Xenopus tropicalis: one gene and its partners. The protein of the gene in region 3 binds, or shares a complex with, the protein of the main gene of each other region. Links are inferred from orthologs where the notes say so. Each region holds a gene or a part of one and is shown on either strand. Other genes may lie near its edges.

Region 1 (5,012 bases), on a different chromosome or scaffold from region 3:
AGCTTATGGGGCCACAGGGGCTCCATTCTGTAGTGCAGATAATGCAGCCAATCTTCACCCAAAAACAACAGCAGATGCGATTGCAAGCCAGGAAATTTGTTCACTAGGTGGGGTGGCACCCCCCAAGGAAAATATCCCTGGACCCTAGGCTACAATTCCTCTGAAAAACACACCGGCCTAATGTATCTTCTATATAAGCACCACCAACTCTGAGCAATTTGCCAACAGTTCCTTGGGATGGGCACTATTTTAGTTTCCATATGTCAAATGTAAAAACACTTGGGGAGCAGCACAAGCATCAGAAAAGTTCATGGAGGTGCCAAATAAGGGCTAAGATTGGCTATTAGGCAGCCTCTATGCACACTATAAGCTTACAGTGGGCTTTATTTGGTAGGAAATCTTGTTTTTATTCAACCAAAACTTGCCCCCAAGTCAGGAATTCAAAAATAACTACCTGGTTTGGGGGCACTGAGAGCAATATCCAAGGGGTTGGTGAGCAACATGTTGCCCTGAGTCATTGGTTGGGGATCACTGGGCTGGACTATCAAAAGAAACTACTAGCAAACTGACTGACAAACTGTCCCCAATTAAGTAATATGCTTACACGAGTGATAGCCACGACACTAGCCCATAAACCCAGCTGGTACAGCCAAACTACAAAATCCACAGCTCTGTGGCGTAGCCAGCAGGGGGCATCAGTACTGAAGTACCAGGGCTAATAAGCAGACTCACTCAAACACCCAGCCAATATATTGCCCAATCGGTGAACCAACCAATATACACAATACATGAATATCAGTTGGGATTGTCAGCCCACCATGCATATACGGGCAGTTTAATTCTATCTAACCTAAGAGAAGGCAAAAACCAAATGATACAAGAAAATTAAGGGTATTAAAGGAAAGAATTCCTAAGCCGGTATCAGTTGATTGTGGGGCAGAAAGACCTAATTGTGTAAGTGTAATTACTCTGGAGGTAGGGGGCATAGGAACCAATGACATGCGGATTATGTAAGGAAGGAGAAGCACTTTCCAGGCTTACATAGGAAAGAGTATGGGGCTTGTTGCTGGGGGGGGGGGGGGGGGGGTGAGACAGGAGTAAAGCCTGATATAATAGATAAGAGAAATACAATAAGATTAAACAAGACAAAAGGCACCGAGGAAAGAATGTCACGTAGCTCCCAGAATTCTTTGCTAGGGAACAGCAGGGAGTTGCAAGCGATGGGATCTGGAAAGCTGGGCACTTTATATTCCCTATGCTCCGCTCAGCAGAGCTGGAAAATAAACTGCACAGGTTATAATGGTTAAGCCTGAAGTACACAGCATACTTAGGTTCCCGGCACATCCCATGCAGTGCACTGGCAGTTACCCATGCACACCATGCAGTCCAATCCCCATTCACCTCTGCGGCCACGTGCTGCTAGGCACTGCCAATGTTACCATTACTAATTAAAAAACAGACACATGTAAGCAACCATGCAGAATGAAGATTGCACGGCCTCCCATTAGGGCCTGTCACACGCATGAAGGAGTCGTCACATACAATATACACACGGTCAGGCACCCAGCGGAACCAACAGTGCATGTGAGGCCCCACAGTGCCTCCCCAGACTCAACAGGGAAAGTAGGTCACCAACGTGTCCCAGTGGTGCCGCGGGTATCACTGCTAAGGCAAACATTTTGGGGTGAATGCCTATTTGCTCTCCAATATACACCTGAAGGTCAATTAGGGTGAGATTTGGGTTGAAAACCTTTCCCCATATACCTGGAACTATGGCTTCTACAGGTTATAACATAAAGTGGCCCTGGCCAAAGCTCGGAACCTCTGATGGGGCCAGGAACTGGAGATGTCTGGCAACCAGGGAACGGACATACAATTACACAGGGGCAGGCAGGATGGTTGCTATGGAATAAAAATAAGCATGAAATAGGGCTGGGTGATATACCGTTTAATACCGAATACCGGTGTTTCTTTTTAAAACTATATTCATTTTTCAGATACCGCAATACCGGGGTGTCAGGGTACTCACCCATCTCGCGCATGTCCCGTTGTCCACGGGACATTGCATAGGAGCGTCAAAGCGCACGTACATGTCAAAGCGTGCACGTCTGTGACGTGGCGCCGGTTCTGCGCATGCGTGGGGGGGTATTTAAAGCTATCAAACGCCTCCTCCTGTGCTATGTTGTCTGCAGCCTTGCCTGGGAAACTAAGCCTGCCTTACGACTTTCTGTTGCCGATCCTTCGCTTGCCTGACTCTGATTTTCAATACAGTAGTAATTATTCTCTAATTTATTAGGAAATGGGGTTAACACCTAATCATGCATGGAAAAAAAAAAATACCGTCAAATACCGCGACACCGATATAATTTTGAAAAATACCGTGATATAAATTTTTGGTCATACTGCCCAGCTCTAGCGTGAGGCCTGTCTGGAAGCTAAAGTCACCCTGAGCCTCAGCACTGGGAATCTATTGCACAGCCTGGGCATTCCCTACCAACCCTGCTGGCACTGCCAAAGGCACTCCTTTAGTGGGGGCATGATCCCCTTGAAAGTGTTAGACATACAAACAGTGGCTATTGAGATACCCCTTAATGCCTGGGCCAATGAGGTGAAGGCTTACATGGAGGTTTCTAGGAATCCAAAAAAACATGCAGCAATCACTGTCCGTGGAGTAAAGCCACATGCTGGAGCTCCCAGGCCAGAGGGCAAGTCCCTATTCCCATGGGAAGGGGTTAGTGTGGGGCAAACACAAGCCACCTGTTGGTGCACTGTTGGTTCAGACTCCTGAAACAAAGTAGCAGGGAGAGACCATGCAGCAGGGGGGAACACCCTATACGTTTAGCAGCAGCTGGAGGGCTGCAGGGTGCCCAGGCCTGGGGTATCTGGGATGCAATCAGGCAGCTGGGGGGGTAACAAGTACAGGGGCAATGCACAGGCACCTCATGCAGCGCCTCAGGGGATCCCGGTGCGTGTAGCCCGGCTGCAGCCCCTATGGGATACTGAGGCAGGAGGGACAGGGTAATGGGCAGCAGTAGCACAGTACAGTACAGCTAGTTTCCGCGCCCGGCCCTTACATCCCGTTACTCAGGAGGAGCGGGGTGGGGCGGAGATCCCGTTACCCAGCAACAACTCCTTCGAGAATGAGGTGACAGAAACCCCTGTCCATGAACCCGGACTAAGAGATCCCGCCTCCCTGCAAGCCCTTACCGGGTGGGGGGAGAGCCGCCCTCAGCTCCCGTTTCCCGCTCGCCGTCCCCCGGGTCACGCTCCGCTCTCACTCTCCCTGTGCGCAGAGGATCCAAAATGGCGGCACTTCCGGGCGGATCCACCAAGTCGGCCTACATGGGGGGGGGTGGGGGGGAAGCGACCAATAATGGGCCTGTGCTGCGGCGTGTGCGGGCAGGCGGGAGGCACAGCTTGTCAGGGAAGATTGGCCGCCGCCGGGGGATTGGTCACAACGCGATCCAGTCCGGCCTTTGCGCGACACTTGGAATCATCATTCGGCAATGGGGGAGAGAGAAGCGCGGAGTAATACCTGGACTGGAGCTTCATGGCACCACTGGCCGGGAGTTACTTGTCATCTGTCAGAGCTTGTTGTGCTGGGGGAACTCATGTGCAATAACATACAAGTTACATAATCTATGTTTAGTTATAGATATATCAACTGTATGTGGGTTAATTGGAAAACATATATATATTTATATATAATATAATATATATATATATATATATATGTTTTCCAATTAACCCACATACAGTTGATATATCTATATATATTTTTTTCAGTAACCTATATAACCTGCTACATTTATATATATATATATATATATATATATATATATATATATATATATATATATATATATATATATATATATAAAATATACATTTATATATATATATATATATATTTTTTTTTTTTTATATATATATATATATATACAGTGGTGTGAAAAACTATTTGCCCCCTTCCTGATTTCTTATTCTTTTGCATGTTTGTCACACAAAATGTTTCTGATCATCAAACACATTTAACTATTAGTCAAAGATAACACAAGTAAACACAAAATGCAGTTTTTAAATGAGGGTTTTTATTATTTAGGGAGTAAAAAAATCCAAACCTACATGGCCCTGTGTGAAAAAGTAATTGCCCCCTGAACCTAATAACTGGTTGGGCCACCCTTAGCAGCAATAACTGCAATCAAGCGTTTGCCATAACTTGCAACGAGTCTTTTACAGCGCTCTGGAGGAATTTTGGCCCACTCATCTTTGCAGAATTGTTGTAATTCAGCTTTATTTGAGGGTTTTCTAGCATGAACCGCCTTTTTAAGGTCATGCCACAACATCTCAATAGGATTCAGGTCAGGACTTTGACTAGGCCACTCCAAAGTCTTCATTTTGTTTTTCTTCAGCCATTCAGAGGTGGATTTGCTGGTTTGTTTTGGGTCATTGTCCTGCTGCAGCGCCCAAGATCGCTTCAGCTTGAGTTGACGAACAGATGGCCGGACATTCTCCTTCAGGATTTTTTGGTAGACAGTAGACTTCATGGTTGCATCTATCACAGCAAGCCTTCCAGGTCCTGAAGCAGCAAAACAACCCCAGACCATCACACTACCACCACCATATTTTACTGTTGGTATGATGTTCTTTTTCTGAAATGCTGTGTTACTTTTACGCCAGATGTAACGGGACACGCACCTTCCAAAAAGTTCAACTTTTGTCTCGTCGGTTCACAAGATATTTTCCCAAAAGTCTTGGCAATCATTGAGATGTTTTTTAGCAAAATTGAGACGAGCCATAATGTTCTTTTTGCTTAAAAGTGGTTTGCGCCTTGGAAATCTGCCATGCAGGCCGTTTTTGCCCAGTCTCTTTCTTATGGTGGAGTCGTGAACACTGACCTTAATTGAGGCAAGTGAGGCCTGCAGTTCTTTAGATGTTGTCCTGGGGTCTTTTGTGGCCTCTCGGATGAGTTGTCTCTGCGCTCTTGGGGTAATTTTGGTCGGCCGGCCACT
Region 2 (4,860 bases), about 14 Mb from region 3:
CACACACTCACTCTCACACACACACTCACTCTCACAAACACACACACTCACTCTCACAAACACACACACTCACTCTCACCCTCACTCTCACACACACACTCACTCTCACACACACACTCACTCTCACACACTCACCCTCACTCTCACACACACACTCACTCTCACCCTCACTCTCACACACACACTCACTCTCACCCTCACTCTCACACACACTCACTCTCACCCTCACACACACACTCACTCTCACCCTCACTCTCACACACACACTCACTCTCACCCTCACTCTCACACACACACTCACTCTCACACTCACTCTCACATACACACACACACTCACACTCACTCTCACATACACACACACTCACTCTCACCCTCACTCTCACATACACACTCACTCTCACAAACACACACACTCACTCTCACCCTCACTCTCACACACACACTCACTCTCACCCTCACTCTCACACACACACACTCACTCTCACACACACACTCACTCTCACACACTCACTCTCACCCTCACTCTCTCACTCACACTCACTCTCACACTCACACTCTCACTCACACTCACTCTCTCTCACACTCACTCTCTCACTCACACTCTCTCACTCACGCTCTCTCACTCACACTCACACTCTCACACTCACGCTCTCTCACTCACACTCACACTCTCACACTCACTCTCACACTCACTCTCTCTCTCACACTCACTCTCACACTCACACACACACTCACTCTCACACTCTCTCACTCACACTCACGCTCTCTCACTCACACTCACACTCACTCTCACACTCTCACTAACACTCACTCTCTCTCTCTCTCTCTCTCACACACTCTCTCACTCACACTCACGCTCTCTCACTCACACTCACTCTCACACTCACTCTCTCTCTCACACTCACACTCACTCTCACACTCACACTCACACTCACTCTCACACTCACTCTCTCTCTCACACTCACTCTCACACTCACACTCACTCTCACACTCACTCTCACTCTCACACTCACACTCACTCTCACTCTCACACTCACACTCACTCTCACACTCACTCTCTCTCTCACTCTCACACTCACTCTCACTCTCACACTCACTCTCACACTCACTCTCACACTCACTCTCTCTCTCACACTCACTCTCACTCTCACTCTCACTCTCACTCTCACACTCACTCTCACACTCACACTCACTCTCTCTCTCACACTCACTCTCACACTCACTCTCACTCTCACACTCACACTCACACTCACTCTCACACTCACTCTCACACTCACTCTCACACTCACTCTCTCTCTCACACTCACTCTCACACTCACTCTCACTCTCACACTCACTCTCACACTCACTCTCACACTCACACACACACACTCCCACTCACGCTCTCTCACTCACACTCTCACACTCACTCTCACACTCACTTCTCTCTCACACAAACAGAATGAAACAGACTGAAAGGTTTCCGTTCCAATCGCACAAGTGAGTGAAGGGGCGGGAGGGGCGGTTGCTATGGTTACAGAGCTCCGGGCCCGATATGACGCAGCGGCTGACGTTGGGAAGGCGGAGCCACGATGCGGAAGTGGGGGGCGGGGCTCGGCCTGTTTATTTCCTGTCAGTGTCAGTCCTGAAAACAACAGGAACCGAAACTCCAATCGCAGTCTCGAACCGGTACCGCCCGGAGAGTCCGCCATGAAGTTCGTGTATAAAGAGGAACATCCCTTCGAGAAGCGCCGCTCCGAGGGGGAGAAAATCCGCAAGAAATACCCCGACCGAGTCCCGGTGTGTGACATACTGCCCCCGGGGCAACTACTGGGGCAGGAACCTTCCTCTGGGGCAGGAACCTTCCTCTGGGGCAGGAACATGGGGAGAGACTGGGGGTATAACATGGGGAGAGAGAGAGACTGGGGGTATAACATGGGGAGAGAGAGAGACTGGGGGTATAACATGGGGAGAGAGAGAGACTGGGGGTATAACATGGGAGAGACTGGGGGTATAACATGGGGGGAGAGAGAGACTGGGGTATAACATGGGGAGAGAGAGAGAGACTGGGGTATAACATGGGGAGAGACTGGGGGTATAACATGGGGAGAGAGAGACTGGGGGTATAACATTGGGGAGAGAGAGACTGGGGGTAATAACATGGGGAGAGAGAGACTGGGGGTAATAACATGGGGAGAGAGAGACTGGGGGTATAACATGGGGAGAGAGAGAGACTGGGGGTATAACGTGGGGAGAGACTGGGGGGTAAACATGGGGAGAGACTGGGGGTATAACATGGGGAGAGAGAGACTGGGCGGGTTATAACATGGGGAGAGAGAGACTGGGGGTATAACATGAGAGAGAGAGACTGGGGGTATAACATGGGGAGAGACTGGGGGTATAACATGGGGAGAGAGAGACTGGGGGTATAACATGGGGAGAGAGAGAGACTGGGGGTAACATGGGGAGAGACTGGGGTATAACATGGGAGAGAGAGAGAGACTGGGGTATAACGTGGGGAGAGAGAGAGACTGGGGGTATAACATGGGGAGAGAGAGAGACTGGGTATAACATGGGGAGAGAGAGAGAGACTGGGGTATAACGTGGGGAGAGAGAGAGACTGGGGTATAACGTGGGGAGAGAGAGAGACTGGGGGTATACATGGGGAGAGAGAGACTGGGGGTATAACATGGGGAGAGAGAGAGACTGGGGGTATAACATGGGGAGAGAGAGAGACTGGGGGTATATACGTGGGGAGAGAGAAGACTGGGGGTATAACATGGGGAGAGAGAGAGACTGGGGTATAACATGGGGAGAGAGAGAGACTGGGGGTATAACATGGGGAGAGAGAGACTTGGGGGTATAACATGGGGAGAGAGAGAGACTGGGGGTATAACATGGGGAGAGAGAGAGACTGGGGGTATAACATGGGGAGAGAGAGAGACTGGGGTATAACATGGGGAGTGACTGGGGTTACATGGGGAGTGACTGGGGGTATAACATGGGGAGTGACTGGGGGTTATACATGGGGAGAGAGAGAGACTGGGGGTATAACATGGGGAGAGAGAGAGACTGGGGGTATAACATGGGGAGAGACTGGGGTATAACATGGGGAGTGACTGGGGGTATAACATGGGGAGAGAGAGAGACTGGGGGTATAACATGGGAAGAGAGAGACTGGGGGTATAACATGGGGGAAGAGAGAGACTGGGGTATAACATGGGGAGAGAGAGAGACTGGGGGTATAACATGGGGAAGAGAGAGACTGGGGTAGACTGGGGGTATAACATGGGGAGAGAGAGAGACTGGGGGTATAACATGGGGAGAGAGAGAGACTGGGGGTATAACATGGGGAGAGAGAGAGACTGGGGGTATAACATGGGGAGAGAGAGAGACTGGGGGTATAACATGGGGAGAGAGAGAGACTGGGGGTATAACATGGGGAGAGAGAGAGACTGGGGTATAACATGGGGAGAGAGAGAGACTGGGGGTATAACATGGGGAGAGAGAGAGACTGGGGGTATAAACATGGGGAGTGACTGGGGGTATAACATGGGGAGTGACTGGGGGTATAACATGGGGAGAGAGAGAGACTGGGGGTATAACATGGGGAGAGACTGGGGGTATAACATGGGGAGTGACTGGGGTATAACATGGGGAGAGAGAGAGACTGGGGGTATAACATGGGGAGAGGAGAGAGACTGGGGGTATAACATGGGGAGAGAGAGAGACTGGGGGTATAACATGGGAGAGAGAGAGACTGGGGTTATACATGGGGAGAGAGAGAGACTGGGGGTATAACATGGGGAGAGAGAGACTGGGGGTTTAACATGGGGGAGAGAGAGACTGGGGGTATAACATGGGGAGAGAGAGAGACTGGGGGTATAACATGGGGAGAGACTGGGGTATAACATGGGGAGAGAGAGAGACTGGGGGTATAACATGGGAGTGACTGGGGGTATAACATGGGGAGAGAGATGGGGGGTATAACATGGGGAGTGACTGGGTATAACATGGGGAGTGACTGGGGGTATAACATGGGGAGAGAGAGGACTGGGGGTATAACATGGGAGAGAGAGAGACTGGGGGTATAACATGGGGAGAGAGAGACTGGGGGTATAACATGGGGAGAGAGAGAGACTGGGGGTATAACATGGGGAGAGAGAGAGACTGGGGGTATAACATGGGGAGAGAGAGAGACTGGGGGTATACATGGGAAGGAGAGAGACTGGGGGTTTTAAACATGGGAGAGAGAGAGACCTGGGGGTATAACATGGGAGAGAGAGAGACTGGGGGTATAACTCGGGAGAGAGAGACTGGGGGTAAATAACATGGGGAGAGACTGGGGTATAACAAGGGGAGAGACTGGGGGGTATAACATGGGGAGAGGAGGACTGGGGTATAACATGGGGAGAGAGAGAGACTGGGGGTATAACCATGGGGAGAAGAGAGACTGGGGGATAACATCGGGGAGAGACTGGGGTAATAACATGGGCAGACTGGGGTATAACAATGGAGAGAGAGAGACTGGGGGTATAAATGGGGAAAGAGAAGGACTGGGGTATAACATGGGGAGAGAGAGAGCTGGGTATAACATGGGGAGAGGAGAGACCTGGGGGGTATATACATGGGGAGAGAGAGACTGGGGGTATAACATGGGAGAGACTGGGGGTAAATAACATGGGGAGAGGACTGGGGGTATAACAATGGGAGAAGAGAGAGAGACTGGTATAACATGGGGAGAGAGAGAGAGACTGGGGGTATACCATGGGGAGAGAGAAGAGAGACTGGGGGGTATTAACAGGGGAAGAGACTGGGGGTATAACATGGGAGAGGAAGAGAGACGGGGGTATAACATGGGGAGAGAGAGAGAGAGACTGG
Region 3 (4,968 bases):
TAGTTAAAAGTGGGCTTCCCTTTGGCTGCTGCTTAAGGTTCGTGCCTAAATGTGCCCAATCTGGTGCCTAGTTTAGCACAAGCGCACACAGTGGCGCATACCTACCGAACATGATGTTGTACTCTGATTCGCCGTGCATTTCGGACTGCTCCAGCTCCGCAGGGAAAAGCTTCACGTATCCGCCGCCGCAGTCTATGTTCTGCTCGTGCTTTACGGAAAACTGGATGACAAGGGTCTTATCTTTGTTGGAGAAGGAATCAAAGCGGGTAGACAGGGCGTAGAAGCGGGCATCCTGGCTTGTCTGGAGACCTGGGCACGAGGGAGATAGATGTAGAGTTTAACTCAAAGCATTTACACAAACCCCCATCTACAGAAGTAAAGTGAGGGATATAACAGCCACCCCACCAGCAGAGGGCACTCACCTTTGTCCTTCTCTGCGTCTCCGTAGAACTTCCCGGCGCTTAGCTTGAACTTTCCATAGTCAGATTTGTGCTTGGATTCTACCCAGCGCTGCGACCACCCATCTGATAGAGAAGAACACGACAGGTTAAAGTTGATTCTTAGAATGGCTTACTGGGCTACTTCAATGTGCCACCCTACATACCCGAGCAGAAGGATGCCCAACTATCTGTGCCAGTTAGTACCATGCCCTCTTTCCATAGACGCATAGAGAGGCACAACCGGCGGCAGCCCATGCACTGCTAATGCATTCACTATATGGGCAATGGGAAAACCCCATCCTCAGTGGGCAGAGAGACACCCTACTCTGCTAATGCAGGGGCACCCTATATACATACATTGGGGGCACCCTACATACCTAGGCACGGGGGGGCACCCTACATACCTAGGCACGGGGCAGATCAAACTAGAACAGAAACTAGAAGCTACAATTACATACAATAAATATTCCCATAACCCCAGTTACAATTGGGTGCTACCATATTCAGCAGGGGCACTCCCCATAGGTGGGGGAATGGATCTCTGCCTAGCAAACATGGCATCTCCCACATCTTGTGCAGCTGTAATGCAAGCCGATGCCTAGTCACATAGTCCCAGACACAATGGCCACTCTATCCCCCCCCACAGCAGGCACCGGAGCATTACAAGCAATAAATACACACAATACTATCATTCTAACCAGGCTCAGGTAAGGATCCCTTATACTGCAGCATTCCCCATCACCTCCCCCCTCCACTTTCCCTTTCCTTATGTATAGATGGTAGGAGGGGCTAGAGCCGGCCATTAACCCCAGCTCCGCCTCCCCGCTGCTTCCAGAAGGTTCAGCAGGCACTCTCTGGGCTGCAGGGCCGGCTTTAATGATGCAAATACATGGGAAGGATTGGGGCAGAATACTATACACCACCATGTTCCGGCAGCTTCCATGTATGGGAAGGCCGACGTGACGGGCCCAGCTTGTATGAGCCTTACTGCATTACACAAAGCACCCACACCCACAACTCAGACCCGGGTGTCAGCGCAGGGCCACGCCCCCTCGGCCAGCTGTTCTGCCCCACAAATATTTGTACAGATGGCAGGGGATCCACTAGATTTGTTTGCAGGGGACACAGCCAAGGTTACAAACAGAACACAATTGGGATTTATTCAATGAGGAGGATCTGCAACATGCAGCATCCCCCCCCCCCTACTGAACTACACTTCCCAGCATCCCCCCCCCCTACTGAACTACACTTCCCAGCATCCCCCCCTACTGAACTACACTTCCCAGCATCCCCCCCTACTGAACTACACTTCCCAGCATCCCCCCTACTGAACTACACTTCCCAGCATCCCCCCCTACTGAACTACACTTCCCAGCATCCCCCCTACTGAACTACACTTCCCAGCATCCCCCCCTACTGAACTACACTTCCCAGCATCCCCCCCTACTGAACTACACTTCCCAGCATCCCCCCCTACTGAACTACACTTCCCAGCATCCCCCCCTACTGAACTACACTTCCCAGCATCCCCCCCTACTGAACTACACTTCCCAGCATCCCCCCCTACTGAACTACACTTCCCAGCATCCCCCCTACTGAACTACACTTCCCAGCATCCCCCCCTACTGAACTACACTTCCCAGCATCCCCCCCTACTGAACTACACTTCCCAGCATCCCCTCTATTGAACTACACTTCCCAGCATCCCCCCTACTAGCCCTACCTAAAGCCAAAAAGGTGCCCAGCCCATGTATAACTATGTAATCCAGCTTAATGCACATAATATAGCAATAATAATAACAAAATAAATATATATATATATATATATTTATATTATCTGGATCATGGTGAAGTCTGAATAGCAGCAGTTCCACTGCCAACACTATATAGGGATCTGTTACACCCTTTAGTAGCTAAAGCCCCTGGCCAGGAGAGGCTTCTGGGAGCTGTAGTGCAGCTACATAATACGTGAGCAAGAATGGGACAGCCAGCTGGCCTGAGCCAATGTAAAGGCATTACTGGCCAGGAGAGGCTTCTGGGAGTTGTAGTGCAGCTACATAATACATGAGCAAGTGTGGGACAGCCAGCTGGCCTGAGTCAATCTAAAGGCATTACTGGCCAGGAGAGGCTTCTGGGAGTTGTAGTGCAGCTACATAATACATGAGCAAGAATGGGACAGCCATCTGGCCTGAGCCAATGTAAAGGCATTACTAGCCAGGAGAGGCTTCTGGGAGTTGTAGTGCAGCTACATAATACATGAGCAAGAATGGGACAGCCATCTGGCCTGAGCCAATGTAAAGGCATTACTGGCCAGGAGAGGCTTCTGGGAGTTGTAGTGCAGCTACATAATACATGAGCAAGAATGGGACAGCCATCTGGCCTGAGCCAATGTAAAGGCATTACTGGCCAGGAGAGGCTTCTGGGAGTTGTAGTGCAGCTACATAATACATGAGGAAGAGTGGGACAGCAAGGTGGCCTGAGCCAATGTAAAGGCATTACTGGCCAATGAGGGGGGCTGTATTTGTATAACAGGGGGCAGGCATTATCACTACATAGGAGCTACAGCGCCTCAGTCACATACCCAGCCCCTCAGTGCTATCTATCCGTGCATCAATGGGCACTTGTATTAAGGGAAAGGCAAAAGAATGCGTTCTCTCTAGCTGAGCATGCCGGGAGCTGCAGTTAAACCCAGCCGTATTTTACTGTCCCTGCCTTCAAGCTCTAATGCCATGAAGTCGTTCCATACCTCCATCAGCGAACTCTTCCTTTAAGTAAACAGCAGGATCTGCGATGCACAGAGCCGCAAGCAGCGGCAGGATGAGGAAGGCAACGCGGGCCATGGTGATGCCCCTTCAAAAGACCTGTCAAGCACAGCGTCCAGGAACCACTAAGCACCTCGCAACCAGCGACAGCCGCTTATATATAGCTACGCCGCTCCCTCCCTCCGCCTGTCACTCCATTGGCTGCGGCCGCACCGGTGTCCGTTTCTGGTTGGGCCGGCCGCACTGCCATTCAGGGAACACAGATGGCTGCTTTTGATTGGTCCGGGCGATGACCAATGACCGTGCACCACGCAGGGGCCTCCTACTAGTCGTAAGATGGTTGGACGTCTCCTATAGAGACGGGGGTATGAGGGCTGGAACACGTGGTCTGCTGGATCACGTGATCTCCGGTTAGGTTGCACTAAATAATTAACCGGTAGTATTTTCATTTTTGTTGCATTCCTTCATGAATTAGTAGGAGCGCTCTGTATTAATGGGACGGCTCTTTGATTTTTTGTTTATTATTGAATGCCTTTGTATTGCTTGGCTGTAAGTACTACTACAACTGGGGGACTTTGCCCCTAACTGCCCCCACACAATTGCTGGCAGGGTCAGGGTTCTGACTGCACCATGGGATATTCAGTCTGCAAAGGGGGCAGAGATGTTTGGGTTGAATGAGTGGTCAGACCAAGGCACCTATGCAGTGTGAGTGCCAATGTTCCCATTGCCCAACTGTAGCTAAGATATTCAATCAGAGTCGGTGCGATTTTGTATATGTTTGGGTGGGGGAGATAACAATATGTGGCCCCCATCTTTCCCCTGGCTCAGCTCCTTTCTCTAATTCCCCCTATGCCCAGCCTTGTACTGTCCCAACCTGAATTGCCCAAATTCTAAGCAATAAACTTTGGACCCAATGTAAACAGATTGTCAGCCAGGCATTGCCTTAACTCCCCATACACACATACACTTACCTGACCCCTCCTGCAAGCAATATCCAACATTACTGTTACAGGGCTAGTTCCCCTTTACATTAAAGTGATAGTGATATTCCTTTTGGTACTTTAGCTCTTTGTTCAGGAGCTCTCCACTTTTGTTAATCCAGCAGCTCTCCGGTTGCTAAGCTCCAGTGTACCCTTGCAACCAGGCAAACTCCTAAAATGTGTTTTCATGGCAGTTTATTTGCTACCAGCAGTGCTGTGTTTGGCATCTTTTTGTTGACTAAACAAAGCCCAACCCCCCATCCTGTCTAAAAAGGCGATTGTGGTGTGCTCAGTGCCCTCAAGAATTCTCCCCTAAGTTGTTTCCCAATCACTGCAGTCATTTCTGATCACTGACCCTGGGGAAGAAGCCATCAGATCAGCCTTCAGACTACATGAACTGTATGTTTATTTTCTTTTTGGGTCATTGTAACTATGTAACTATTTCTATTTCCTGGGGATACTGGCCCTTTAATTTTATATTTAACTCTTAAATAAAAGTACAAGTAGTCTATGTCTGGCTACCAGGTGAGGGGGTGTGGACGCATTGCCATATACCGTGGCACACAATGGGTAAGGCATCCGGCTCTCGGAACAATGGGTTGCTACAGTGTTTATTTGCAGTTAAGGTATGTGTAGGGCCCTGCCAACATATCCCTTTGATATACAGTTCCCGTCACATCATGTGATACTGTGTGTAAGCTCCTCTGCAGCCATTTATTCAAATAGAAAATCAGATCTGCAGATGGAAGGTAAAAAAAAAAGGACCAACTGAAGGGAGTTTCCTGC

What was found.
Region 1: calr (region 3) and celf1 share a complex: the UniProt entries of both Homo sapiens proteins name them as parts of the EIF2 complex. The link is inferred for Xenopus tropicalis from reciprocal best matches to the Homo sapiens genes CALR and CELF1.
Region 2: the proteins of calr (region 3) and gabarap are in contact, whole or in part, in a crystal structure (PDB 3DOW), measured with the Homo sapiens proteins. The link is inferred for Xenopus tropicalis from reciprocal best matches to the Homo sapiens genes CALR and GABARAP. Residues at the interface, in NP_004334.1 of Homo sapiens: Asp199, Trp200, Asp201, Phe202, Leu203, Pro204, Pro205; in NP_009209.1 of Homo sapiens: Glu17, Ile21, Tyr25, Arg28, Pro30, Val31, Ile32, Lys48, Tyr49, Leu50, Val51, Pro52, Leu55, Phe60, Leu63, Ile64, Arg67, Phe104.

What each region holds. Positions count from the first base shown.
Region 1 is NC_030680.2:16,143,672-16,148,683, reverse strand, and holds the start of celf1 (CUGBP Elav-like family member 1), read right to left. Parts: upstream 3,272-5,012; 5' UTR 3,208-3,271; intron 1-3,207. UniProt on the Homo sapiens protein: RNA-binding protein implicated in the regulation of several post-transcriptional events. Involved in pre-mRNA alternative splicing, mRNA translation and stability.
Region 2 is NC_030679.2:153,335,665-153,340,524, reverse strand, and holds the start of gabarap (GABA(A) receptor-associated protein like 1), read left to right. Parts: upstream 1-1,589; 5' UTR 1,590-1,689; coding exon 1,690-1,779; intron 1,780-4,860. UniProt on the Homo sapiens protein: Ubiquitin-like modifier that plays a role in intracellular transport of GABA(A) receptors and its interaction with the cytoskeleton.
Region 3 is NC_030679.2:139,717,958-139,722,925, forward strand, and holds the start of calr (calreticulin precursor), read right to left. Parts: upstream 3,315-4,968; 5' UTR 3,281-3,314; coding exon 3,187-3,280; intron 525-3,186; coding exon 423-524; intron 310-422; coding exon 106-309; intron 1-105. UniProt on the Homo sapiens protein: Calcium-binding chaperone that promotes folding, oligomeric assembly and quality control in the endoplasmic reticulum (ER) via the calreticulin/calnexin cycle.